3 linked regions of the Alligator mississippiensis genome follow. The protein of the gene in region 1 purifies or fractionates together with the protein of each later gene. This does not show direct contact. Links are inferred from orthologs where the notes say so. Each region holds a gene or a part of one and is shown in the gene's direction. Other genes may lie near its edges. The genes, in order: ARRB2, NOLC1 and TCOF1.

What was found.
Region 2: the proteins of ARRB2 (region 1) and NOLC1 purify together in Homo sapiens (affinity purification with mass spectrometry; 5 studies listed by BioGRID and IntAct, counting the BioPlex papers as one, with this or other methods). This does not show direct contact. The link is inferred for Alligator mississippiensis from reciprocal best matches to the Homo sapiens genes ARRB2 and NOLC1.
Region 3: the proteins of ARRB2 (region 1) and TCOF1 purify together in Homo sapiens (affinity purification with western blotting; 4 studies listed by BioGRID and IntAct, with this or other methods). This does not show direct contact. The link is inferred for Alligator mississippiensis from reciprocal best matches to the Homo sapiens genes ARRB2 and TCOF1.

Annotation. Positions count from the first base shown.
Region 1 is NC_081838.1:23,720,508-23,728,129, reverse strand, and holds the start of ARRB2 (beta-arrestin-2), read left to right. Parts: upstream 1-4,601; 5' UTR 4,602-4,695; coding exon 4,696-4,718; intron 4,719-6,006; coding exon 6,007-6,037; intron 6,038-6,433; coding exon 6,434-6,494; intron 6,495-6,591; coding exon 6,592-6,636; intron 6,637-6,864; coding exon 6,865-7,061; intron 7,062-7,134; coding exon 7,135-7,194; intron 7,195-7,300; coding exon 7,301-7,368; intron 7,369-7,622. UniProt on the Homo sapiens protein: Functions in regulating agonist-mediated G-protein coupled receptor (GPCR) signaling by mediating both receptor desensitization and resensitization processes.
Region 2 is NC_081829.1:17,771,342-17,778,624, forward strand, and holds the start of NOLC1 (nucleolar and coiled-body phosphoprotein 1), read left to right. Parts: upstream 1-4,214; 5' UTR 4,215-4,248; coding exon 4,249-4,359; intron 4,360-4,455; coding exon 4,456-4,511; intron 4,512-7,283. UniProt on the Homo sapiens protein: Nucleolar protein that acts as a regulator of RNA polymerase I by connecting RNA polymerase I with enzymes responsible for ribosomal processing and modification.
Region 3 is NC_081832.1:75,212,421-75,220,206, forward strand, and holds the start of TCOF1 (treacle protein), read left to right. Parts: upstream 1-4,769; 5' UTR 4,770-4,777; coding exon 4,778-4,939; intron 4,940-7,502; coding exon 7,503-7,558; intron 7,559-7,786.

The DNA of each region.
Region 1 (7,622 bases):
CCTTCCCAGCTCTCGCAGGAGAAAAGTTTTCCAAAATGAGCTCATCCCTACACTTTCAAGTTAACCCCCCACACCCCTCCCAGCATTTCATAGAAATGAAGTGTATGGGACAGGCCCTAGAGCTGGGGTGGCCAACTGGTGGCTCTGGGGCCACGTGCGGCTCTTCAAAAGTTAATATGCATCTCCTTGAACCTTTGCACAAGCACGGTGACCAGCTGCTATAGCCGTTATGTCACGTGACATGACTGCTTGCATATTACATATTACTGTGGCTCTTTGGCAATGTACATTGCTAAATTCTGGCTCCTTCTCAGGCTTAGGTTGGTCACCCCTGCCCTGGAGGGAAGCCAGGCCGGAGCAGGCCAGACCTGCTGCCATCCAGCCCACTCATACCTTAGAGAACCCTTTTATCAACCTTGGTCACTGCATGCAGTCGAGGCCCTTCGGTGCCACCGCGGGGTTGCTCTTGGCTCTGAAGCTGTGTGCCCCCCTGGAGGTGGAAGCGCAGGGGCAAGATCCTCTAGCCAGGACCCTGCGGGATTGGTGCTAGCAGCAGCACCTAGTGCCTCTGGGGGAGGCTTAAAAACCCCTTGACACATGGGGCAACAAGGGGGGGGGGCACCCAGCAGCCAGGGAAGAGTCCCAGGCAGGGCTGAGGCACTGCGACACTCAGGTCATCCCCTGCTTTTGGATATCAGCTGTATCAAATGTGGTCTCTTGACAGGGGGTAACCTGGGCCTGGGTCTCTTCCAGCTAGCTGGGCTCTGTTGCATGCTGCCACCCCCCCATGAGTCAGGGGGTTTCCCTTCCCCTAGCAGCATTGGGTGCTGCTGCAGCCCAGGCTGGGGGTGGGGACTGGGCTGGGCTGCTGCCGGGGACTCAGCCCTGGCACGTTGGGGTGGGAAGGAGGAAGCTGGGAGCCCAGATGTCTTGGTTCTCTTGGATGGGAGCGGGCTGGAGTGTGATGGCAGGGGGGTCTGGGAGCCTGGATGTTGGAGTTCTCTCACCAGGTCTTTGTGGGCAGCTGCACAATTATTGTAACAGACTTTTATTAACCATGACTTAGTGCTTGCTTTACCTGACTTGTGCAAACGTGTTGGGCATTATGCTGCAGAGCTACTCAGACTTTTTTTAGGAGCACTTTTTGCCACTTCATTTGTAAATTGGGCTGCATCATTGTTTGTTCCGCTACTGCAACATTTCCTGTTTGAGCGACCAGCTTCACACTTTGCTCCAGAAGCAAGATTTGGTTTTACAAAACTGGAAATTCTGTATGTAAAATAATATATTTTTGCATCGGTTCAATTGAGGTTTGGGTCAGGGTTGATTTTCAAATGGTATTGTTTTTTATGGAGGTAAAAATACAATGTTTTTGTTTTAAATGCATGATTTTTACAGATAAACTAAAGACGTTTGACAATACTGGGGTTTCTTTTCCTTCTGTTTCTGTCGTTCTTCTGTCTCCGCCACTGAGCCACTGCATGGGATCAACTGTGATAACAGGTTGAAGTCATGGCCCTTGGCCACTGCATCAGCCCAACCAGGAGTGGGGTGCTCCAGCCCCACTGTCCTCAAAGAATCTCAGTGGTGGCAGCAGATACTTTAGCCCCCTGGATCCACTAGGGCTGACTGTGATGGACACTCTAGTCCCCGTTTGTGCAGGCGGATGCTTTAGCCTGCCACAGCCACCTGCATTTCCATGGTTAAGGACATCCAACCCCCCTCCCCTCGAGTTTCAATGGTACCAGCTGTTCTTGGCAGCATGGAGGACCCCTCATTCATTTAAATGTGCCCCCAACCCTCACTGTCCTAGCATCAGCCCCTTCCCCTAAAATGCCCTCCTTACCCACAATGCACCTGAAAGCCCAACTCCCTCTCCCCCCATACAGCCAACCAATCACTTCCCCTCTAGAGACAAGTCCCCCCCCTACCCACAATGCAGCTGGAAAAGCCCTTGGGGAACCTCTCCCTCCAGAGCCTTTGCACCCCCCACCCACCCATAAAGCCAACCCCAACAGAGCCAAGGCCTAATGCACTGGGAAGCACACTTGAGAACCCCCCCTCCATAGAGGGAATCTCAATTCCTTCTTCCCCACCATAAATCCAACCCCTGCATGCTTACTCCCTAATATAGCCAACCCCACAATGGATGTGGAAAAGCCCTTGAGAACTGCCCAGTCCTCCCCCCCCCCCAACATAGAACCAGCCTCTCCATCCTACTCTTTCTGTGTAGCCACTTCAACCTACCCACAATGCACCTAACCGCCCCCCCCCCCCGCTCTCTGCTCCCTAGTGGACAGACAACCTCCCAATCCTTTTCTCCTATAAAGAAGACCATCTCCAGTCTGGTCCTCTATATATAGCAAATACCCCTATAGCCAACCCCCATCCTTCCCCTTCCCCTCCCCCTCCAGTATAGAGCCAATCTTCTCCCCATGAGACACCCGAGGCTCTAGGGCAGCTGCAGGGTCCACTTCCATTGCACAAGACAAAAACCTCCAGCGTGGGGGGGGGAGACAGATTTGGGGGGTGCAACACCCCAGAGCTGCGGCTCAGACCCCCCACAGAAAGGGGACTGCTAGATCCCCCCAACCCCCTTCTTGTCGGTCCAAGGACCTGACTCTGCTCCCAGCAAGGGGCCCCCATTACCAAAAACCGCTGCTGCCCGCTCCCGGGAAGCATTTGACAGGGAGGGGCAAGAACAGAAGATCATCGTCCGGGGGGAGGGGGGGGGGGGAATAAATAAGAGGCGGCAGCTACCATTCGGCAGCTGAGCGCAGGGGGGGAACAGAGGGAGGGAGGTACCACTTGGCGGCGACCCCTGGAAAGCGACGAGAAGGGGATGGGCCTGGACGGTTCCATTCTGTTCAAGGTGGGGGCTATTCATGGGGACACTTCGACGAAGCCCCTAATTCCCCCCACCCCCATCATTCTGGGGGCGGGGGTGGTTATAAGAGCCGGATTGTACCGGAGGAGGGGGTGGAGCGGGATACGGGGGAACTAAGCTCCCTTTTACACTTCGGGGGAGAATGGTACGGCCCACAGAGCTCCCGGGCGCGGGGACAGGGGTCACGTGACAAGGCCCAGAGCTGGGTCATATGGGCACATAGAAATTGGATGATCCCCCGCAAGAGGGTCGTAAAGGGACTTGAGCCGCCCCGCTGGTCCCAGTCCCCCACCGAGAACCAGGGTCTGGGCCTCCAGTCCCCTCCTCCCACCCCAGGCCCCTCCTCTCGCAGAGACTTAGACCCTTAGTCCTGGGGCTAGGGGACAGATGCCCTGTCCGTATAGTCCTGGGCCTAGGTGACCTAATCTCCTCTGCGTTACACTGAGACCGCTGTGTCGTTAGGCCTGCCCTCGTTAATCCCAGCCCTGTCCAAACCAGCCCAGACGATCCCGTCCAGAGCACTGGGCACAGACTGGTTCAGACCAGGGGTCCCCTCCTTGCCCCCCAGCTCTGCCCAGTCTCGGGTCAGCTGGATCCTGCCAGTCCCCCCGGGCCCGTAACCACAGGCAGGTTCCTGGCTGGGGTTGAGTCACGCCCGCCCCCAGCGCCCCGTGGTGGCCGGACGTGGGTATGGGCGTGTGCGTGTGCCAAGGGGCCGCGGGTGTGAACACAGCGCTGTGTGCAAGAGGGGTGCGGTTGTGTCCAAGCACAGGTGTGTGTGTGTGTGGGGGGGGGATGTATGTGCACTGGGTATGAAGATGTGCGTGTGTGCAGCTCCATGCACAACTGTCTGCTGTGTGCACATGCGTGTGGGTAAGATGCAAGTTCACTTACATGTGTCTAAAAATTTGCATGTGTGCATGTGCAGATCTGTGCTCAAGGGTGGTGTGGAGATCTGTGCAGTCATGTTTGCACGTATGAGGGTGTATGGGTGCATGTGTGGGGTGTATGTGCATGTGGGCATGAAAATGTGTGCATGTGTGCATGCAGCTCCATGCACAGCTGTGTGCACATGCATGTGAGGATGGTGGGAGTTCACCCGTGTGTGTCTACAAATCTTGGTATATGTGTGCAGATCTGTGCTCAAAGGTGTGCGCATGCAGATCAGTGTACGTGTGTTTGCACGTGTGTGTATGTCTGCAGGCCTGTTTGCACACGTGTGTGCATGTGCAGGTGGGGGTGCATGTGTGCAGGTGGGGGCTCATTTGCACATGCGTGCACACACACACACAGACACACACTTGGCTGCCTGTGGAGACCTGTGGCCAGAACAAAGCATGTGTGTGAGGATCCAGGCCCAACTGCCCATGTGGACGGCTCTGCATTGGTGTGCTTCCATACACGTGGGGGACGCAGGCACACCTGTGTGCGCCCAAAAACGTGCAACTGTGTGCATCTGCACAACCCCCATGCGCATGGATGTGTGTGTGTGTGCAGACCTGTGCACATGCGTGCAGGTGTGCGTGGAGTGGTTGCAGGTGCACACGCGTGTGTACTACATGTGTAAACATGTGCCTGCATGTACACGCACAAGTACAAAGCACACGCGTGTACTACGCCTGGGGCACGCGAGGGGGGAACTCTCCCGCCCTTGACGTCCCCCCCTCCTCCCCCGCGCGCCCTGTGATTGGCTGCCCCGCCCCCCCACGTGACCGCCCCCCCCTCCCCTGCCATGTCCCCACTCGGGTCCGCAACTCCCTGCAGCCCGCGCCGGGGGCTCCCGCCGCCCGCCTAGGACCCCCCGCGCCATGGGGGAGAAGGCGGGCACCAGGTGAGGGGCAGGGACCCCAGGCGTCTGGACGCCCCCCCCGCGAGAGCCCCGGCGTCCGGGCCAGCCTCCCGCGCCCACCCCCTCCGCTCCTCCGGCGTCCGCCCCCCGCTCCCCGGCTAATCTGGGCTCAGGGTCCTGCCGTGCCAGGCTGGGAGGGGAGGGGGAATGATGGAGCTGCCCGCGCCTGGCATCGCCGGCCCCGGACGCCTGGGTCCGTTTTTTGTGGGGGGCGAGAGAGACCAGGACGCCTGGGTTCTCTGGAGACCCCTGGCCCCGCCGGTGCCCCTCACTCCTGCCCCGCAGCCCCCTACTGCCCAGTGCCCTTCACTCTTGATCTGCAGCCCCCCAAAGCCTCATGGGTGCCCCATACTCCCGACCTGCAGGCTCCTGCCCCCCCAGCCCTGCCAGTGCCCCTCAATCCTGACCCGCAGCCCCTGCCCCACACCCTTTGGGGCTGGGGGAGGGAAGCTGCAGCTAATGAGGCAGTTGAGCCTTTTGGGGCTTCCAGGCCAGAAAGAGGAAGTGAAAATTGCCAAGCGTTAATTCGGAAGTTGGCAAGGGCTGGGTGGGGGTGGGAGGGTGCAGGGGGAGAGGAGATGTGACCCCCCTCCACTCCACAGTTCAAGCCCCAGGGTACTGCAGGGAGCAGGGATAACGGGTCCCCTGTGCGGCTGGCTCTGGGGTGGGGCGTTGGGGCTGGGTAGAACAGGTCCTAGGTGCGGCTGCCTCTGGGGTGGAACAGGGCCAGGTGTAACGGGGTTCCCTGCTGCAGCTGGTGGTGGGGTGGGGGGCATCATTGCACTGCAGCCCCCCAGATCAGGGTCCTGTTCTGGGTTGTGGGGGGCAGGTTGGCCATTGTGGGGGATGGACGGACATGAGGATCCTCCGTGCTACTTCCCGTCTAGAAACAAACAGGAAGCAGCACGTCCTGTCACAGCCACGGCCCCTCCCTACCCCCACTGCCCTGCCTGTGTCCCTCACTCCTGACCTGCAGCCCCTGCCCCCCCAACCCTCCTGGTGCCCCTCACTCCTGACCTGTAGCTCCTGCTGGTGCCCCCTGCCCCCAAGGACTAGGCTCCTCATCACCCTTAAGGCTCCTCCTGGACTCCCCCTCAGGCCTCTGTAGATGCCCCCAGGCTTCATGTTTCTGTGGCAACCAGCTAGGCCTAAGCCCATCTTTAGGAGTTTGGTGGTTATGGGCCTGGGGGCAGAGCAGGGGGGAGGTCAAAGATCAGGTCTGATCCCCTGGATGTTGCGGGGGCTGAGGCTGTGATTCTCCCCTCTGCAGGGTCTTCAAGAAGTCGAGCCCTAACTGCAAGGTGAGTGATCCCTGCCCTCCACCAGCCCTGCGTGCCCCTCACTCCTGAACCGCAGCCCCCCCCGCCCCCCCTTCGGTTTCCTGTAGCATTTCCACCCCTGCCCATCTTCCTTCCTCCCCCCCCCCTCCCCCCAACTTGGCCACAAGGTGCGGGGGAGGGGCTGTGGCTGGGTTAGATTCAGGCTGTGGCTCGTGAGTCCAGCACAGCCTAGGAGGGGTTAATCCCCCCTCCTTGCACCTGGGGGATCCTGTAATGGGGGGACCAGGAGCTGGAGGGCAGTTTTGGGGGGCTGTGGGTTGGGAGTAAGGGGCACTGGCAGGGGTGTTGGGGGCTGGGGGGCAATTCTGGGGTCGGGAGAGGTCTGCTCCCCCTGTCACGTTTCCCCCCCCCCACCAGCTGACTGTCTACCTGGGCAAAAGGGACTTTGTGGACCACCTGGACTCCGTGGACCTCGTGGGTGAGTTGGTTTGGGGGGGTCAGGAAAAGGGTCTGCGGGAGTGTGGGCTGTTGGTGGGCTCGTCCAACCCCCCCTACACCTTTTCCCCTCCCCCCAGATGGCGTGGTGCTGGTGGACCCTGAATACCTGAAGGACCGGAAAGGTGGGCATGGCCTGGACCTATGGGGGGGAGGTGTCCTCGGGGGTGTGGCTTGATGGATGGGTGATCCCTTGGTTCCTGGGATGGGGGGTGTCCCAAGGGGGTGGGGCTTGGGGTCTGAAGATCTTGTTGTGGGGGTATTGCCTGAGGGGTTGGGGGGGTCTCCAAGGCGTGGGGCCTGGGGTTCCCCAAGACGGTGTGGCTTGCACTGACCCCACCCCAACCCCGCAGTGTTCGTGACGCTGACCTGCGCTTTCCGCTATGGGCGCGAGGACTTGGACGTTCTTGGTCTGTCCTTCCGCAAGGACCTGTTCTCGGAGGCACTGCAGGCTGCGCCCCCCCCTGCATCCCCCCCACTCACCCCCACCCGCCTGCAGGACCGTCTGCTGCGCAAGCTGGGCCCTCGAGCCCACCCCTTCGCCTTCAAAGTGAGTGGCCTCCGCAAACCCCAAACCAGCCCCCAGGGACCACCCTGTTTAACTGTTTCTGCCTCCCCCCCAGATACCCCCCAATCTGCCATGTTCGGTGACGCTACAGCCAGGGCCTGAGGACACGGGCAAGGTAGGGGCTGTGGGTCAGGAGTGAGGGGCACCCGCAGGCCTGGGTGGGCAGGGGGCTGCAGGTTGGGAGTGAGGGGCACTGACATTAACAGGGTCTCCCCCTCCAGGCCTGTGGGGTCGACTATGAGATCAGAGCTTTCTGTGCCAAATCCTTGGAGGAAAAGATTCACAAGAGGTAAGGGGCTACCATCCCCCCCTGCTCACCTCCCAGCATGGGCAACTGCTTTCACCTTAGTTGGGGGGACACATGCCTCCCCGTGACTAGTCCCACCAACAGGGGGGTCCCCCCACGGTTTCTCTCACTGCTGGGGGGTGGGTCCCAGAAGTGGCTGGGAGTGATTGGCCAGTGCTTGTGTGACCGGCCAGGGGGTGCACCGGCGCTCGGTGCGGGGGGATGAACCTAGGTGTCCAGGCTCCCAGCCCCTCCCC
Region 2 (7,283 bases), on another chromosome or scaffold:
GCTCCAGAGAGGCACGTCAGTGACCTGTGCCAGGGGCAGGGTCCAAGCCACAGTAGTGCCCATGGGGCATATGAGTGTTTGAGCCCTTGCTAGAGGCTGAGTTCAAACCCCAGGCAGGCAGCAGCTAAGAGGTCTAAAGCCTGGTGAAAGAGGTGGCCTGAAGCTGGAAGGGCTAAAGGGTAGAGCCCAAGAGGGTGAAACCAAGTCCAGGGGCCCACAGCCTGAGATGGGGGAGCTAGAGACAGACTGAAGCTGGGAAGGCCAAGGCCAGAGACGCAAGACGGGTGAGACTAGGGCCAGGGGCCCCAAGCCCAAGAGGTCAAAACATAGTCCGAGAGGGTGAGTCAAGAGCTGGAGCCCAGAAGCCAGGTCCAGCACGATGGGCCTAGGCAGAGGAGCTAATGAAAGGAAAGGGGTAGCAGCCAGGAGGGTTGAAGCCCCAGCAAGAGTGGAGAGGTCTGAAAAAGACCAGACCTGACACTGATTGACTGATAACCTCCACGAGGCATGGGCATGGCTACAGAGGAGGACAAAGACCACAAAATTAGCCCTTAAGGCAACAGGTGCCCTGGAGGGAGCATGGGTGGATCAGAAGGGCCCACCTAGTGCCTGAGGGGCAGATTTGGGGACCAGGGGGGTCCAGGAGGGACCAACTGGCCAAGAAGGATGGATGAGGGTTCACTTGGAGACCCCAGGGTTCACTTGGAGACCCCAGGGAAGCCTCCATTTCACAAACCAACTCATTACATCAAGGTGTGGCAGGTGAGGGAAAAGGAAAGGGGCCCAGGGAGCCAGAGTGGGTGCAGGAGCTGCGCTGCCATCAGGGGATATCACAGCCACCCCTGGGGGCTCTATCCTGCTACAAGCACACAGAAGAATCAGCTAGTACAATCCCTATCTCCTCGAGAGAAGCTTTTATAAGCCAACAGTATCAACACAAGATCTTTCACAAGCACTCAGACGTTGTGGACTCTAACAATGAGTCCTTGTCCATTGACTGACAAAAGGGTGTTCAGGAAGGATGGCTTTAATGGGATCAGATCTAGTTTTGAGATATGTGGCTGCTTCTGGATGTAGAAGCTTTTGGAGATGGCAAAGTGAGGAAGACAGCCACACAGTGAGCTCAGCATATTTTGGATTTTCCCTGCTACTGGAGTGCAGGGTACACTGCTGCTGGGAGAGAAATCAGTATAACCATACCAAGCCCCCACTGCAGGATGTCTTATGTCTACCAAAGCAATCTCCTCCCCACATCAGCCCATTTAGAGTTATTTCTGCAGAACCCAATTCTTTGTGTTACAGTAATACATGCTGGACTGTGTTTCTTGTCAATAAGCGTATAAATACCAAATCCCTGTAGAATTTTATTTTTCCTGAAGATCCGTACACCATAGATATGTTTAAAATTTAAATTTAAAATTACAAAAGCAAGTGCTTCTTTGTTCAGTGCCAGGCTTGCTTTCTCTCTTTCTCTCTCTCTTTTAAATTTAAATCAAATCTTACATTTGCAAAAGAAGTAGAGGAGTTGGTGATACAGATTCAACAGTGTTGAGAGCTCCTCAAGAGAGAGCAGCACTCCTAAAATCTCAGATAATAGCACTGTAATAATGTCAAAGTCTAATAATGGCCTTATGGCCTGAAGTGCATCCCATTTCCTACCCATAATGTCCAACAACACAAGACTCTGAACCAAGATTGCAAGAGGACAGCCTGCCTCAATCCTATTGGAAACAGTGAGAGATCCTCTCATTAAACATAAGCTACTCATCTTCACTTATGAATCCCTTTGCAAACTATCCCTACCCTACCTATCCTCTCTCATTCTGCATCAAGAGGTCTATTTCCTCTGATCAACTCATGATGTTAGCTGCCATCAACCACTTGTTAGATTTTCAACCCAAGCCTTTCATCCTGCTCTCCATGCCTGGGACAGGCTCCCCATAATCATCTGCAGAATGACCATATTATTCAGTCTCAAGACCCTCATCAGGATTCTCCTTTGCCCTGATTTCAAGGAAACTGTACGGATAATGAGTAGGCTGCCAAAACTGTTGCCTCCCATGGTGCCTGGTATTCTCATTTTATTCCCTTGCGTTCCTCCATCTGTCTGTCTTCATCTGTCACTGCCTTATGCTTCACTCACAAGCTCTCTGTGTACAGGTGGTCTTCCTGCTCTGGAGGTACAGCACCGAGCACCCCTGGATGCTGACTGGTGACTGGGGCTGCTGGGTGCTACAGTAACAGGCCTCATTTCAGTGCCTGCAGAGGCCCCCAGCCAGGCCCCACCAAGCTCCCCTGCAAAGCCTCCTCTCAGCTCAACAAGGTCCTTTTCCCCAGCTGAGGACTCCCGGGTGGCCCACCACAGCCCCGGGGCAGCCGCAGGAGCTTAAGGGGGGCATGTATGGACAGGGCTCTGGCCTGGATCTTTGCCACTTGTTGGCTTTGCCTCATGCTCCCGCCTTTGCCTTTGGGGAGGTGCCTGCATCCGAGTCTGATGGCAGCACCTAGAGCAGGGGTGCAAGCTGCGCAGGATGCAGCTCCACTGGAAAGGCCATGGGCGCCTTGCTTCTTGCCTCCAGCCATTCTTTGATGGCAGGGCCCCACTGGACCCCAGGCAGGGCAGGACAAGCCCTGTGGGGTCCCCATGCATTTCTCTTGTGAGTCCCTCGCGGATCTATCATGGTGTGACCCCTGAGGGGCTCTTCAGGGGTGGAGGAAGACTCACTGCTTTAGAAGCCCACCCCGGCAAGGCCAGGCCAGGCCCAAGGGTCTGGCAGCCCCAAGAAGGGCACCAGGGCTGGCACATCGGGTTTAAGGGTTTGAAGGAATGAAATGATCAAATTTGAAATTATCACATTTGCTGAAAAACGATTGTACACTGAAAACGTATGCAAATAAGTATGCAAATAATTATTTTTATTGACTTTATATTGCTTCTCACTTTAAGTCGCCAGTGAGTGAGTGAGAACAAGTTGACGCGTTTGTTTATTTCGAGGACAGCTGTCACAAGACAGTGCTGACAGCAACCTCGGCAGTCGGTTACGACTCTGCCCCGCCTGAGGCTGACCTGATGCAGGCAGGCAGAAACATGCGACCGTCTCTTCTGGGACTGCCCACACGCCAGGGAGGTGGGAAGAAAGTCTGTGCGCTCGTCCTGGTGGTGGGAGGTTTCAGAGACCTGACCAGGGAAGAGGTTCTTACGGGCACTTGACCATGGGCGACTTGTGCCCCGCTTGTGACCAGTCCCGCTGACTGGGGGGTACCCCCGCAGCCGGGGAAGATCCCCACAGCCGATCCCGGAATGGCCGATCGCTGCGACCTATAGCCGCAGCCGCTTCCGGGAGTGACTGCAGCGATCAGCCGGCGCTTGCAGGGGGGCACCGGCACTCCCACCTGCCCATCGCCTAAGCGGCAAGTGCTGCCGGTCGGGGGGTGCACCGGCGCTCTCAGGGGGTGCATGTGCTCCCCCGTGCACCGCCTATGCCACTGCACCTGCCCAGACAGCACGGGGCCCCGACCAGTTCTTTGCCTGCTTCAGGTGGGCACTGTGCAAAACCAGCTACCTGCTCACAGACTGACACTTGGACCCCACAGTTGAGGACTGTATTAAAAAAGGACAAAGTGAAATGTACTGGTACTACAGAAAGACACAAGAGGATGACAGGAAAGAAATGGCAGACCTCATCTGGTGGAGAGGGGCCTGGCATAGACATTTTCAGAATTAGCGCCTCTGGGTGGGGCAGTGGGCGCGGGGACGGGTATAGGGACGGGTGCGCGGTCACGCGGTGCGAACCGTGTAATGGGTTTTCAGTGTGCTGCGCTGCCAGTGAACTTGGCAGACTGTTGGAGGTGGAGTTATTTATTTATTTATTTATTTATATAGAAGTATTTTTGCAAAAAAAAAAAAAGTGGGTTAAAACTCTCCGAGTGACTTGGGTTCTGCACATCCTGCATCAATTCGCTGCCTCAAAAAATGACCCTACATGTTGAACACCGTGGCTATCATTGACCGTACATTGTGCCGGGGTTGTGCAAACACCATAACCATAGCGCCCCCGGACGGCTGGGCTGCCCGGCGCACGCGCAGTGCGGCCGCCCGACGCCAGGTGGCGCCAGCAGCTGCCGAGCAGCGCTGCCCGACCTCAAGATGGCGGCCGCGCTCCGCCCGCCCCTGCCGGCGGCCTGGCCCCCGACCCCTGACCTCCGACCCCTACCGCGGAGGCGGGCGGTACACGTGGTGGCGGCAGCATGGCGGGTCGGCGCGTGGTGCCCAGCGACCTGCTGCCCCTCGTGTTGGGCTTTCTGCGGCAGCACCGCTTCGACCGCGCCGCGCGCGCCTTCGCCCGGGAGGCCGGAGTGGTGCGGGCCGGGCTGGGCCGGGTCGGGGGGCGGTCGGGCCGGAGGGTCTGGGGGTCTGGGCCGGGCCCGCGCTGACGCCCGTGTGTGCTCTTGCAGGCGGACCAGGACCCCAACGCCGCCTCGCTGCTCGACGTCTTCGACCACTGGCTCAAGTGAGTGCCGGCGGGGCCAGGTGCGGCCGGGCTGGGGGCCGGGCCGCCGCCCTCCTTCCCCTCCCCACCCCCGGGTCGGTCCGTGGGGGGAGGGTCCCGCTCGCGGGCTTGGATGGGGGAGACGCCTTGCTCCAGCTGGGAAGTGAGTGCTTCCTCCAGCCAGCCATGCCTGGACAGCCAACACCAAGGGCCAGCGAGTGGTGCATGAGTTTGTGACTGGGAGTGCATGGACCAGACGAGTTCAGCTCAGATGCAGCTGCCGCTCCTGAGCGTAAAACACAAATGCTGTCGTGGGTTGGCGTAAGCCTTTCTGAAACACTAGGTTTCACCATAACCCTCTGTTTAAGTCAGGGGTGGCCAGCCTGCAGCATGTGTGCCACACGTGGCACAAGCAGTCTGCGCATGGCACGCGGCAGATCAAGGAGGGGGCTGCAGCCCCCGGCAGGGAGGGCAGAAAGCAGAGCAGCAGGTCATGCCGCCGGAGGGGGGTTGGAGTGGCACTCAGGGAGGGTACGGGGCTTAATTTGTGACGCATCTGCCAGAACGGTTGGCCCCGCTGATTTATGAATCCAGAACAGACAGTTAAGCGTGTTTCAGCCCCATGAAAAAGACAATGCAATAGAAAGGGGGTTGGGCTCAGGGCATCTGTATGTTCTTCAGAGGGTTACGTGTTTTGAGCTTGGGAATCCTCACTGCTTTCATGGAGAAACTCCTACTCTAGAGTCAAACTCTTTCTAGCGTTTCTGGTCAGAAAGTACCATACTTACTCAAATCTGAGATGAGGTCATTTTCCCCATTCAACAGAGGTGGGGGGTAAATTTGAGAACAAGATGGAGCAGTAGGTAGCTGCTGTGGCTCTAGCCCTGACCCAGAGTCAGAGCTTCCGTCTCTGCCCCATGCCAGTCTACCCCTTTGCGTCCCTCTTCCCCCTCTGGCTGCTGTTACTTACCTGGGGTCCTGGCTTTGGCCTAGAGCACAGAGCACATGCTATCTCCAGGCTCTACCTGGGATGGCAGCTGCTGCAAGTGTTGGCAGCTCTAGTGCTGACTCAGGGCTGGGGCAGGTCCATAGCTGCTGCTTCTGAGCCAAGCAGGGGCCAGAACTGGCATGTTCCCTGGGTCAGAGCAGGACTGGACTTGGACCCAGACCTGGAGCCACAACCTGGGGTAAGTGGTGGTGGCAGGGGGGAAGGCGAAGGCAAATGGTAGGAAGAGGCTGGGACTAGAGAGGGAGCTAAGTGCCAAGGGGGGCAGGCACCAGGGAGGCAGTAAGTGCTAGGGGGGCAGGTGCCAGGTGATGCAGGCACAGGGAGCATGAGGTGGGAGACAAGCTGCGTATCTCCTTGTCACTACTTGCCCCCCTGCTGCTGTTTTCCCTGTCACAGCAATGGTAGGGACACACTTAAGACAACCCACCCAAGAATTAGATTCTGCGCATGGAAAATTGTAAAAAGTTAATATATAGAATCTAATTATTAGGTATTTGTCTTACATTCTAAGTTGTCTTGTATTGAGATAAAAATGGCAGAGAGTCGAGCTGCACTCAGATCTCCAGTACCACAAGTGTCAGAGCAGGAGCAGAGAATACCCTGACACAGCCACTCCTTTATCTTGTGAGGAGTTTGGATCAGTTTTTTTTAAGTTCCCCCAGTTTCTGCTTCTGCTCTACCTAGCTCCCCAGTCATGCTGCTTCTGGGGTTGTTTTGCTTACTTTTCTTGGGTTTTTTTGTTTCTTTTTAAGCACAGGTGTGTGTTTGTAGATCCTAGGACAGTGGCTCCCAACCTCAGGTCATGACCCAAATCAGGGTCGCAGGAGGTCTGCCCTTCATTCCACCTCTTCTGCCTGCGGGGCTGTCCCGGTGCACAGTCCATGCGGCTCTCGCTGCCGCTGCCCCCCACAATCCTAGCCCAGCCCAGGCTTTACTGGCACCACCGGGCATGAGTGAGTTGGGGGCAGGGTTCACGATCTGGATTTGGGGTTGCTGCAAAAAAAGGTTGGGAGCCACTGCCCTAGGAGTCCCTTGAACAGGGTTGTTCTGTGTTGATTTTGTTCGGGTGGCAGTCTGACCCCTGATCTGAAGGACAGTGTTTTGCATTAGAGGTGCACCGATACATTGGTCCGATATCGGATCAGCACTGATGTAAAGAAAAGGCCCCTGTGGTGAGGGAGGGAGTAAGGAAGGAGCTAGGGTAGGTGCTGCCTGGCGGGGGGCGGGACAGAACCACAACTCGTCCAGGCATAGTGGGGCAGGGGCGTGGCTCCTGGTGATGCATGCACCCTGGGGGGGAGGGGTGGCATGTGCCCCTGGATCTGCGTGGGGTGCAGGTTAGGCTGCATCTGCAGGCTGCGGCTGGGGTTGTGCCAGGCTCTTCCTGGCAGAAGGGGGGGTGGCGGTGCTGGGAGGATGGGCTATGGGGGGGCTATGGTGAAATTTGGGCGGGGGCTGCAGCCCTCTCCCCATAGTCCCCCTCTCAGCACTGCCACCCACCCTGAGTGCGGCCCCAGCCTGCAGCTGCAGCCTGCCCCACACAGGTCTGGGGGGCACACGTGCACACACCCCACCCCAGGATGCGCGCAGCAGCAGGAGCTGCTCCATGCCCCACCCCCCTGGACAAACCATGGCTCCATCCTGCGCCTTGCCCCGGCTTGGCAACGCCTGCCCCAGCACTGCTTCTTCAGTGCAGGGGACTTGATCTCCCCCCACACTCCTTCCCTTCCCCCTCCCCTTCCACCACAACAGACTTACCACCTACATGCAGCTGTTTAAGAAAT
Region 3 (7,786 bases), on another chromosome or scaffold:
GGCGAGGTGCACCACGGACTTTGGCTTCCACCTACCAATTACAGAAATAAAAGTCTGAAGGGACTCGTCTGCTCGGACCTCCCGGCTACCACAGGCCTTTCAGCTTCACCCAAATACCTCGGGTCAAGCCCAAAGACACTGGTTGCATCAAGTATTTCCGACCTCAAGAAGCTGAACTTGGTGCCGCAGGTAAAGATCAAAAGAGACCAAAGGACAGCCAGGAATTGATTCCTTGAGATGCATCCAGGCGATCCTCAAAGGTAAGCCAGCAGGGGAAGAGGAACCTGCCCCATACAGCCTCCTGCTCCTCTGACCACTTCCATCCCAGCCCTGGATATGGTAACCAGTATGACCGTGAGCATGGGAGTGAGACAGACCAGCCAGGCATGGACTGGACTCTGTGCACCACCTCTGAGCCCTGTCTCCAGATTTAACCCAGAAAGGATATGATGTCCCCAACAGGCAGCCCCTTCCCCGCTGCGTCTGCACTGGAGAGAATGGCCCTGACCTGGTGCTGCCCTTCAGCCCAGCCAGGACGGGATTATTTCCAAAGGGCCTCCTTGCAAAGCATCGGTGGAGGGTCTTTGCTGGGTGGGCACTTCAGTCCTGCTGCACGGCTACCTAGCCATAGGCTATTTCTTTGCCCACCATCATGTGGTGACCTAGCCAGCTTTCTCGAGCTGAGCAGGGTCAGGGTGGGCCACCCCACCGGGCAGAGAGCGGGCGGGCGATTTATTCGGCGGCCCTCTTCCGTCTAGACGAGACCTAGCGGGTGCATGGGACACCACTGCCTGGAGAGGTCCGTTCACCGTCCTGTCTCCCCATGGCCCCTGTTGGTTGTTCAGAGGAGAAAGCAAAGCCTTAGGGGCACCTTGGGGTCTTTAGAAATCAAGTATATTCACTAAGGTCATAATCACAGTTATACAGAGATGCTGCATGCAGCGCTATAGAGCACTTGTACACGTCACGGCGCCAAAAATTGCCACTTTGCTAGGTTAGTCGTGTCTGAAAATACACCTTGACGTCTTTATCGTGGTAGAGCTCGATTTATCGGGGTAAATTAGACCACCTCCAACATGTTTTATTTTTTAGCGTGGCCAATTGTTACAGCAGGATTACTTTGCTCACGATACATAGAGACCGTGAAGCGAGATCCTTGACCCCGGCTGACTGCCACGTGCTGCTGCAGCTGGCCCTAATGCCCAAGTGTCCCTGCAGATCCTCCGATTTCTCTGCGTGGCTAAGCTGGCCCTGGATTTTGCAGCTGCCGCTCTGCCCAATAGATGTGGCCAACCACCTGGACCCAAATCCCCCCAAACTTGGGATGCAGGGTCACGGGGGGAGGTTGTAATGCAGATCTGAGCGGCTCAGGGAACAGCCCCCTATCTATGGTGCACATTTCCCGACTATAAGTACCTAATGTCAAGGATCCATTATTAAGCAAAGAAACTAAGCTGAACCTCGCTCAGCATTCGTGGTAAAGATGGGAGGAAAGCGTCCTCACAGGCCTACGGGTCCACAGACAAGTATCCATAGGAAATGCCAGCTTCCAGATGGCTGAGGAGCTGATTGACAGCAGCTTCCCAGTTTGCTAAATGCTCCCAAGCCGTGCTTTAGACGGGGCATGAGTGGAGTAATTCAGGATGGAATAGATGTGGGCGAGCTTTTCACAAACCGATAATCAAAGGCCTCTAAACCAGCAAGCAATGCACCCGGCTTGTGGAGCGCTGGACACGAACAGGCCTGCCTGGGCATAAGTGTCCTGAGCTGCCTATTAAATTACTACAGCTTTATCCTTGTCTGGATTTTAAAGAGCTTCCTGCAATCCTTTCATGACTCAGTGTCCTGGCATGGAAATCACATAGCTGAAAGGTTAGCTTTTCAAATCCACTGAGGATATTTCACCTTCCTAAAAATAAAGACCTGGCAAAATAGCTCCAAGCTCCTTCAAAAATGCATGAAAAAAAACCTCACCTTTTAATAACTGCATGCTGTTCGGGGAGTTTTGGTTTTTTTCCTCGGTGGGGTTTGGGCTAGGGAGGATTTTCCTATTTATAATTGTGCAGCTGTTTGCTTGGCTGAATCGCTCTATTTATTATACGCCCTGTTTACCTTCCTTACCTGTAACTGCGGCACGACAAAAAAATTCTTCAGATGCATTCGCTGGAGCGGGTTGTGTTACTACAGGTCCCGGCAGCGCCGCCGACTGAGCCGTGTTCAGGGCTCGAGCACGCGAGGGAGGCTCTGGACTGAAGTGACCCCGCACCGGAGCAGGATTGCTTGCTTGGAAAGAAAGCACCAATTTTTAAGCCTTTTTTATAGGGATGCTCTCCACACGTTGTTATCCCACCTGGACGGCTGTCTCACCTGCGTGGCCTTAATGCCATCCTTCTCTTTGCCCTCCCCACCTAGCCGGCTTGCTGCCCCCCTCCCATCTTGCTTTGCACCTATTAGGACTCCTGTTATTTTGTGTAGCTGAAATTCCTGGAAAAAGGAGCTGGGGATTGCAAAGAAGGAAGTGGGAATGGGGAACTTCATTGGCATGCAGGATACGGCTGGCGCAGGTGCCCGCAGCTTGCCCGGGGCTTCTCGAGCACGTTAATAGGAGAGAGGCAGCAAGAGCCCAGGCCAAGCTTGGGTCCAGAGAGGGCAGCGCTGGGCAAGTGAGACTCAGGGGCATCCAAACCCCAAGCCCCCGGGCTTGGGTCCGCACATAGGATGCCCACCAATGGATCTGGGAGCATCTGAAGCCACAGGCTGCAAAGTCTGGGGTGACAGATTCCTGCCGGTTGCAGAGCCACGTACGGTGTTTGAACGATAAAGCGCTGCTCAATCGAGAGGGTTCGGCCAGTTCGACCCAGAATGAGACAAATTTTCCAAAAAAAAAATTCTGAATGGTGTCGAGTGCAAGTCCTGCCCACGACTCCAGCCACCGGGACCCTCCAGCGGCGCTCATTTCCACAGTGCATTTTGCCTCCGTGGGCAGGCAGGCAGGGAGAATGAAGGGTGCTGCAAGCAGGCAGGGCATTACTTGTGACGTGGGACAACCCAAATCAGGGCCCACGACCGTCAAGGCCTTTAAGTGGGTCTAGGCAGGGCTGACCCGGCCTCGAGCACGGGGCTGAGCTAGAAGATCTCTTGTGGTGCCTCCCTGCCCTTATTCCAGGGCACACGTTGAGGTTAGTTGCATGGGACTCGCTGCCCCAGGGAGCATCTTGCCTGGGCACTGAAAGGGGAGCCTACAGTAGCTGCTGAGCACCGAAAAACCCCCGTCCGGAGCTTTTTGGAGAATCTAGGCCCCTTCCATGACTTGGGGTACATCGTCACTTCCCCCCTGTTCTCCCAGATGAGAGATGAGGATGAGTGGGCATGAAGATCTTTGAATGCTAAGGATTGCAGTAATCACCTGGAAGAGGCAAATTCTGCCCAGGGTGGGTGCTCTGTGGGGATATTTGCAGCAGACAGGCCTTTCTCAGCAGGAGGCAGCGAATGGACACCCCCTTTAGCGCGTCCAGGCTTCCTATGCAACTCGGTGAGAGCTGAAAACCTTGCATGGAAAACCTTGCATGACACATCTTGTTTTCTATCGTGAGCCTCGCATGTGGCCCTCCGCGCGGTTTTCGAAAAACAAGCTCCCGGCGTGTCGCAACATTACTTAAAAAAAGAAATCAAAGCAAAACAAACGGAAAGACTCCTGGAGGTATAAAAAACCCTTCCAGATGGGCCCGTGTCAAAGTAGGTCAAAATCTGCTCCTAAATATATGTGCAGCAGACAGTGGCCCTTTTAAGTCTCAGAGGCTGATTCTCATTTGCACCCGGGGTTTTAACGCTGGCGTAACCCCACGGACGTCCACGCCGGGTTGACCTTGGTGGGGTCTCTCTCCTTGGTCATAAAGCCACGGGCGCTGAAAACCTAACGCAGACTTGCCTGAAGGCCAGGCGGGTCCACGCTCTCCAGTTCATACTCAGCAACCGCCTGGATTTATATTGACGACGGGCGATCATTTGCACGAGCGCATATATTTATGTGTATCGATGATGCGCGATCGTTTGCATAACGATCACTCGCCCGGTGCAACGGCGCAGCTGTCGTGTTGCATTGGCTGCTGGAAGACGGCCCCGGGCCCGGGGCGCTCGCGCTCACCTTGACGGCTGAGGCTGTCGAAGGGGCTCGGTTTGGGAGCCAGCTGGCGCAGAGCCAGGCTTATATTTAATCTCGTCCATAAATACTAATAACGGTTGTGCGTTTGAGGGCGGGAGGGGTGCACGGTGCACAGCATTAAACCTTCCAAAAATAAACCTCTGCCGAAGTGAACGGAGCCCGGTTTTTCCTGGAAAGAAAAGAGACTCAGGGGTGGGGGCCGCCTCGCAGAGCCCACCCCCTGCCCAGACCCTCCGTTTCGGGGACTCCTAGGGCTGGCCGCGACCCCCGGCCCGCGTGAAGGAAAGCTGACCCTAAACCATCCCTGACCCGCGCTTCTTTGATCTCCTTTAGAAAACCTCCAACAACCACTCCTTGACTAAAAAGACATGCCAGCATGGAAACCTCTCGGCTCGGCGGTGAGACCCACTGAGGACGGGCAACCAAGCCAAGCCAAACCAAACCAGCAACTTCATGGTGTTTTCCGTCTCAGGACGCGGAGCAATGGGCTCGGGCTGCAGCGAGGGTAAGTGGAGGCGGGCGGGCGGAAGAACTACCCGCCCCACAAGGCCGCGCTGCCGGGAAGAGGAAGGGGGCGGCGCGGGCAAAGGGCGGCGGGCGGCGCGGCGCGGCGGCATGCGGGGCCGAGGCCGGGGCCGGGGCCAGGACCGGGACGCGGGCGGCGGCATGGCCGCGGCGGGGCCGCACCAGCGCGAGCTCCTCGCCTTCATCCACCACCACCTGCGCCAGGCCGGCTTCGCCCGCGCCGCCCGCGAGCTCCAGCGCCAGCTCGGACAGGTAAGGGCGCCCGGCCCGGCCCGGCCCGGCCCGGCCCCGCCGCGTGCGCTGCGCTGCGCTGCGCTGCGCTGCCAGGGGATCCCCGGCCTCCAGGCCAGCGCGGTGCAGTGCCCTGGCCTTCAGTGTGTTGTATGGCAGTGCCCTGGCCTTCAGGGCAGTGCATCGGGGTGCCCCGGACTTCAGGGCAGTGCATTGCAATGCCCTGGGCTTCAGTGTGTTGCATTGGGGTGCCCTGGCCTTCAGTGCAGTGCATGGGGGTGCCCTGGCCTTCAGTGTGTTGCATGGGGGTGCCCTGGCCTTCAGTGCAGTGCATGGGGGTGCCCTGGCCTTCAGTGTGTTGCATGGGGGTGCCCTGGCCTTCAGTGTGTTGCATGGGGGTGCCCTGGCCTTCAGTGCAGTGCATGGGGGTGCCCTGGCCTTCAGTGCAGTGCATGGGGGTGCCCTGGCCTTCAGTGCAGTGCATCGGGGTGCCCTGGCCTTCAGTGTGTTGTATTGCAGTGCCCTGGGCTTCAGTGCAGTGCATCGGGGTGCCCTGGCCTTCAGGGCATTGTATTGTAATGCCCTGGCCTTCAGCGCAGTGCCCCGGGCTTCAGTGTGTTGTATTGCAGTGCCCTGGGCATCAGGGCAGCGCATTGGGGTGCCCCGGGCGTCAATGCACTGGGTTGCCTTGGGTTTCAGTGCATGGCATTGCATAGACCAGTGGTTCTCAAACTTTTTTTCATGGACCACATGAAAATTGCTGAGGGTCTCAGCAGACCACTTAATAAAAATGTTTTTTGTTCTACAAATCAAAGCCCACAACTCATGTTTTAATATCGGTAGTCTGACCTTTAATGCAGTGGACGTGCCTGTTTTTATGAGCAAAGTTCCAGGAAGTCTAGTGTAATGTTTCAGCTTTAGTCTTAGGTCACCTTTCTGCGGACCACCGTTTGAGAACCTCTGCCGTAGACATTAGGGCTGGAAGGGACATTGCAAGATCATGGGATCCAGCCCCCTGCCCCAGGGGCAGGAAGTTTGCTGGGGTCAAATGATCCCAGTGAGATAAGCATCCAAGTGTGTCTTAAAGGGGTCCAGACTAGGTACTTGCACCACTTCTGGGGGAGAGTCTATTCCAGATTGTAGACCCGGATGGTAAAGAAGATTTTTCCAATGTCCAGCCTAAAACAGTCTTCCCAGAGGTTGCACTGGGTTTCAGTGCATTGCATTGGGTTGGGCTGGATATTAGGAAGAATTTTCTCACTAGGAGGGTGGTGAAGCACTGGGCCAAGTTACCCAGAGAGGTGGTGGAGTCTGCATGCTTGGAGGTGTTTAAGACCCGGGTTGACAAAGCCTTGTCTGGGATGCTGTAGTTGGGGCTGGCCCTGCTTGGAGCAGGGGGTTGAACTAGATGCGTCCTCCTGGGGTCCCTTCTAACCCTCGTTTTCTATGATTTCAGTGCACTGCATTGCACTGGATTTGATTGCATTGCATTTGCGGTGCTTCCTATACCTTCATCCCCCTGGCCCAGCCTGGGAGGAACCTCGTGGCCAGGCTGCAGCCCCCCCTGCTCCCCATGGCCACTGCTTCCAGCCTCTTGACAGGTCCCAACAATTGCTTGCTTGTGCTCCTGTGACTGCCCCGTGACGGGGTGGACGTGCTGCGGCTGCCTAGGCTATTCCTGCTGGATCCCCACTACCTCCAAATATAAGCCATGGTGCGTGGCGGGGAGGGAGCGAGGGCTGGGCTGGTGGTTTCTGTGTGATCTGGACCAGACGCCAGACTGATTGAATGGTTGCTCCAAGTAGGGCGCCCTTTTTCTTTTGGCGTCCGCGGTCCCATGGGAAAGTGAGAACTTTGCTTTAAAATAAAATGCTAGCTGGGAAAGGAGGCATCCTGAGCTTGGCCTTATTGCTGTATCTGCGCATGCGTGCAAGGGATGGAGGGGGAATTAATACCCATTCGACCTCAGCTGGTGAGTTAAACCGCTCCTGCCGACTTTTCATGAGGCTGTCTAGGGCTGCACGTGCTGACTGGCCTCTGTGCACGTAGCCAGAAGTGTGTTGGAAACCTCCAGTCGGCCTCCCCAGAAGCGGGCATCGTTGTCTTTAATGGGCTGGCTAGTGCAGGGCTGCAAAAGTCGAGGATGGAGAGCAGTAATTCGAACTCGGTCCCACTCAGAGATGCTGCGAACTGCCTTTAAACAGTGCTGCCAGGCACCTTAGTCCTGAGCGAAGCTGGTGGAGATCCCACGTGGCGCTGTTCCTAACCCACGGTGCCTTTTCTCCATGCAAACATCTGCAGTGTAGACCTGAGACTAGACCTTCCACGTAAATCCTTCTGCTGACAGTGGTGGAGCTCTCCCGAGTTGCATGGAGCAGCTGAGTCCTTCGACTTCCTTTGTATCGTGTTGGTAGTGGACCTTGAACTGAAACGATGGGGGCTGCAGTTCTGTTCGATGGTTTCTTAGTCATCTGCTGAGACCCCTTAAGTCATGTTTTTTGCAGTGTCTTTCCATCTGCTTCCTGCTTTCCCTTGCACCTTGATAAGAACTGGAATTAATGTTTCCTTTCTGTTTCTCCCGCAGAAAGAGTTTCCTTCGCTGCCGACCTCTCTCGAGGAGATCTTCACCCACTGGAAGAAGTAAGTCCGTCCAGTAGAAACCCTTATCAAAAAGGCTCCAACTCATTTTTCTCTCCCACCATAGCAGGAACCAAATTCGGCTGCCTTTGCGGTTTCTGCTCGCTGGGGTGGGCTGACTTACCGGAAATACTCTCGCTGCTGCAAGATGGAAATGTGGTTTGAACGATGGGGTCTTCTCCACTACCATGCCCTGCCTTCCGCATCTACAGCTGCTTAAAAGACAGCTCT